Kluyveromyces lactis: one gene and its partner. The protein of the gene in region 1 purifies or fractionates together with the protein of each later gene. This does not show direct contact. Links are inferred from orthologs where the notes say so. Each region holds a gene or a part of one and is shown on either strand. Other genes may lie near its edges.

What was found. The genes of interacting proteins can lie anywhere in the genome.
Region 2: the proteins of RSM7 (region 1) and MRP10 purify together in Saccharomyces cerevisiae (affinity purification with mass spectrometry; 3 studies listed by BioGRID). This does not show direct contact. The link is inferred for Kluyveromyces lactis from reciprocal best matches to the Saccharomyces cerevisiae genes RSM7 and MRP10.

Annotation. Positions count from the first base shown.
Region 1 is NC_006041.1:512,027-514,797, forward strand, and holds RSM7 (mitochondrial 37S ribosomal protein uS7m), read left to right. Parts: upstream 1-1,458; coding exon 1,459-2,253; downstream 2,254-2,771. Other genes in the region: PSY4 (Psy4p), read right to left, coding at 1-518; KLLA0_E05765g (uncharacterized protein), read right to left, coding at 2,326-2,771.
Region 2 is NC_006041.1:1,177,864-1,180,311, reverse strand, and holds MRP10 (mitochondrial 37S ribosomal protein mS37), read right to left. Parts: upstream 863-2,448; coding exon 575-862; downstream 1-574. Other genes in the region: FAD1 (FMN adenylyltransferase), read left to right, coding at 1-428; succinate dehydrogenase assembly factor SDH5, read right to left, coding at 1,182-1,673; NPC2 (sterol transporter), read right to left, coding at 1,990-2,448. UniProt on the Saccharomyces cerevisiae protein: Component of the mitochondrial ribosome (mitoribosome), a dedicated translation machinery responsible for the synthesis of mitochondrial genome-encoded proteins, including at least some of the essential transmembrane subunits of the mitochondrial respiratory chain.

The DNA of each region.
Region 1 (2,771 bases):
TAACCAAAATTTACAGCCACTATAGTTTCAATCTTCGAAATAAACGCCTGCAAAGACTTCTCATCTTCTTTATTCGTGCGGATCCACTCAATAGGTATCAGAGAAACATCTTCCATTGGGTTTGTGTTTGGACACTCTTTGCCCAGCCTGGGTGTCCAATCAGTATTCACCAAGCAACATTTCTCCATGGCCGACACAAACTTTTGCAAACTGTGCACAGGGAAATATTGTAATGGATGGTAAGATAATTCGCATATCCGTTGAATCGTGAACGGATACTTATCTCTTTTTGCAAATTTCACAACAAGGTACCTCGATAGCTCTTTCAATCTGTGTAAAAGGTCTTCCTCTTGGTCCTCGTTATAATTGAAGATCTCCTTCGGTATCGTTATGCTGAAATGTTCAGATAGCTGTGGGATCAATTGCGAAGGCGATATTTCGTTAAACGCGCTTAGATCTTTATCGATAACTATTTTAGTCAAACGGTCGTATAGATGTCTGGATTTTATTCCCATCATATTGACAATGTATCTGATTAATGAGCTGATAGTAGGAAAGGCTGGCAAAAAAAAAAAAATTCTACGGTATAGTAATATTACACTTGGTTAGATCTCCTTGAAATGGCACTAACGAAAGATCGGTGTTCTCGGGGTATTCTAATTAGCACAAATAAGTCCAGTATGAGCGATGCCTTTTTTATTCCAAACTGGCAGATATAGAATAGATAAAAAGGATAGTCTCGGAAAATAATATGAAACAACGGACTTGTAACACCTAGTCCCAATAGACAGTACACGGTTAGCCAATCCCAGCTCAGCCAGCAGCCTTATAAAGTTCGTTCTCTAGTCTGTTGATTGACCGTTCTATCTTTGTAGCTTAGAAACCTACATGTTATTTGAACAAATTTCTTTTATTTATCATTTCACATAATATTGTGCGCATATAACAAATTTCACCAACTTTTCACGTAACGAAATGTGATATTATTTAAAGGATTTCACTTAAGAACGGCAGGAATTTTAACACTTAAGTACGGAAGTTCTAAAGATACTATAGTTACATACCTGAATACAAAATAGATCAACGACATCTTTACTATAATATTAAAGGCTAAGGTGTCTAATAAGGTACAGTCTATATAATATCATTAATTATTCTTGGCAAGCTTGTGCTCAATGCACTGACAGGCAAAACTACCAACGGCACATAGAAACAGATCATTAGTAGTCACGTGTATTTATGCGGGTAACACTGTTCACACTGGCTCATCTCTGAACCTTTGATCAAAAAAATTTACGATTTTCAAACCAAATTCAATATCATCATATTCTGGTGAAGTAAGCTTGAATTTGGATCTAATGAGAGTTACTCTTAGATTGAATAGGTTCTGGTTGTATTGTGTGTGTCCTTGTGTGGTCCTTGTGTACACTGGCATCTATTCAACGGAAATTGTACAGTATGTTGAGAGCAGGAAGGTTTAGTCTGAGTCACGTCCATGCTAACGTTTTGGCAAGAAGTCCACTTGTACATGCTGCCAGTATACCGACCATGCAAACCAGATTCCAAAGTCAATCTGTGAATAATAATGCGTCTACAGGGGAGAAATTAGCTAGCCTTAGCGACGAACAGGTTGATGAATGGTTGAAAGTTATTGGATCGTTAGAAGAAGAGTTTTCGCAACAAGATTATAACCCAGCTACGTCCCTTGCACCAGGTAACCAATCTAGAATTAATATCTTGGAGAAGGCTATGGAATTGAACAAGCCCAGCTTTGAGCCAAGTCAAGAGCAAATAAATGAATGGGAAACGTTGAAGCAAGTTCCCATTCCAAAAAAACAGGATCCAGTTTTACAGCATGTAACGAATATGATTATGAGACACGGGAAAAGAGAAAGAGCTGAGAAGATTCTTTCAAGAGCGTTATATATTGTGTTCTGTCAAACAAGGAAAGACCCGGTAAAAGTTTTGAAAGAATCCTTGGATGTGTTGGCGCCTCTTATGGTTATCAAGACCTTCAAGACTGGTGTCGCAAAGGCCACTGTGGTTCCAGTTCCATTGAATCAAAGACAAAGGTTTAGATTAGCTTGGAAATGGATTGTGGAAAGTTCTGTGAAGAGATCATCGAGCGATTTCTCAGTAAGACTTGGTGAAGAATTGGTATCTGTCTTCAACGGTAATAGTTCAGGTTTCGAAAAGAGAGACTCTATTCATAAGACTGCTATTGCACACAGAGCTTACATTAACCTAAAATGATCAAAGTTCCAACCTCCACTGTATTTACTTGAATAAACCTGTACATATGTATACGTGAAATATAAATGAACGTTATCGATTTTCATAGTTATGCTGAATTTGTTGCTCTATCTTATATGCAATTCCTAGGCCCAGCAGACTTCCCGAAAAATTGGCCAAAATATCGTTTACATCAAAGGACCTTTTTCCTCGTGAGAGGAACTGTTGTGCAAATTCACTGCTCGTACTGGCACATACGCAGCATACAATAAATGCCAATAGATATTTGTTCATGGAAAAAGGTTCGTACGCAGCCAAATTCCTTGATCGTAGTCTTTTGGGGATGAATGCCGGCAACTGTACGGTATCACATTCAAACATCATGGTAAACAGAACGGTTTCAATGCAAAATACTATGCAATGGGCGAGCTTATCATGAGTTGATGTTATTAGCTTTAACCTGGCATCAGTAGTTAATCCGAGGAAGACAACAAAACATACACTCGAGAAAAATGTTACTGCGTATTTATATCTTATCA
Region 2 (2,448 bases), about 670 kb from region 1:
CATTTGGGGAGACGTTGCAACCAATTCAAAAGACGGACCCCAGTTGGCCCCAGTTCTACAGGTTGCAACCGTTGCTACATTGGAATCTCTCACAGATATGGAGTTTCCTATTGTATTCGGGAGAAGAAGTATGCGGATTATATGAGATGGGATTCACTTCATTGGGCAGTGTAAACAACACATTGAGAAATCCATACCTACGGATACCAGAACCTATAGGCTCCATGACAAAGGCCGAGACTGAACATAGCGATTTCCAATGGGAAATTGAAAACAATTACAGAGGAGATTCTAACATGCATTGTAACGAAATTAACGAGAATGACCTTAATACCATCAAACAGCATGATTCATCTGAGTTCCATCCGGGATGGTATCTAACGAAAGACGAGTGGGAAAGAGCTGGCAGACTCGCCAGAAAAGTTTGAGATGAATCCACTCACAAATAGCTACAAAAATCTCTATCATATTTAATAAATCGTGAATTCCTTGATTTTAGATGATATATGTAATATTAGAAAATGGTATTATGTACAAGTGATAACGAAGGGGGAGAAAGTCTGTCTGCTTCTTTCTAATCATGAGATTTTCCACCAACTCTATCGTACAATCTAGCAGCATGATAGTTGATATTACTCTTCTGGACTTTTTGGTTCTTACCTAAGGCATTTTCCGCGGTACATGCCTTCAAATCTTGGGCCAATGTCTCACATGCACCGTACATGTGTCCGTTAGAAGACCAGCATTGTAATAGATTGGACATCAATACCAAGCATCTGTTAGCCTCTTGTTGAATAATTGGCTTTTTCACCTTAAGTCTGGGAAGAGGTGGTAATTTATAAAGAGGAGTCTTACTGGACATGCTTTAATATATGAACACTTGATATCTTGGACGTACCCTTCGCAACACGACCTTACAAGACCTCTAGAACGGACTACGCGACTACATTTATGATATTTTCCATCATATAAACGATATCATTCTTTATGATCTTAACAAAATTTTTGAGACTTTCGCCAATGTTGGATCTAAGTATGCGGTGTACGGGTTAAATTTTTCACTTGGGCCTGCCCTGGAAATGATGAGCTGCCGCGACAGAGGGAGAGAGAGCATATGGGTATAAAATAAGAGCTATAGACTATACTGTTGCTTAATTGGCAAGTACGTATACCGCTGATGTTCAGTATTTGGAAAGATCAGGCATGCTTAGGATTTCACGATCCTTGTTCTTACTGAACTCTTGCAATTGTTTTAGAATATTGGAGTTCTTCCATCTGTCAGGAAGAGGTGTAATGGAATAGTTTTCTGTGGCCCAGTAGTAGATATCCCAATCTAGTTCGTTCAACAACTGGTCGTACTCTTCTAGTTGTTCTGGGGTCATTTCCTTTAAATACTTAGCAGCAAAACGTGACAAAAGTAAGTCTGTTTCCAGAATACCTCTCTTTCTGGACTGATAAATTAATCTAGCACGCTTCTTGTCTAGAGACTCGCCGGTTCTCTTGATAGGTGGGATTCTGATTCTCACCGTGACATCGTCATCTTGGCCCTCAGCACCGTTGCTGTTGCCCTTGTTCAACAAGTAAGCATTTGCGTGAAGAGAACGGCATTGCTTTGTAATCGAGTTAACTCCAGATTTCAACACTGATGGTTTGTTGAAGACAGTTCTTAGCATTATTAGATGACAGTGGTCGTTTGTTGACTGGACAGGTAGGGATAGTATAGAGGAGGGTATACTAGATATATGTAATACAAATTAGGACCTCTTCCTAACCTGGGGTAACGGAGGAGAGAGATCAACCAATTCAAATTGTGATTCAATTAATATTATATATAGCAAGACGGGTAAAAAGGTGCCGTAATCGGTTCGGTCACGTGTACATGGACCTAGAACTCCACAGCTTTGCAACGTCGCTATAGGAGGAGACCTTATACTTGGCTCACACTGGGTAAGGTCAGTGAGAGACAGGTAGCCTTTGTGACAGGTGTGTCTAGTACGCTGGGAAGATTACTTCACCAGTTAGGCACGTGATCTGTTCATCGTCGACGTTGTAAGCTCTAGCAATGACAGAGTATTTGCCAGGTGGCACCTCGCTAGGGATCTCCACGATCTTGTTCAACTCGTAGACACCTTCCTCGATTGGACATTTCAATCCGTCGATGTCGTTCTCCTCCAATTGTTCACACAAATCGTAGGTTTGTGAGATTAACTTGATGTAACCTAATCTAACTTCGATGTCGATGTATGCACCTTCTTCGATAGTGGTTTGTAGGACACCTGCAGCAGCTATAGTCAAATTCTCACCTCTTTGTGGTGGGTTGGGGACCAAGTTTACTTGAGTAACATCAAGCGATTGAGATTGGTCAACATCACATTGCAATAAAGGAGAGTCACCAGGGATCGGTTTGTTCGCTGATGGTGGTTCTGGGAAACTTAATCCGAATAAAGA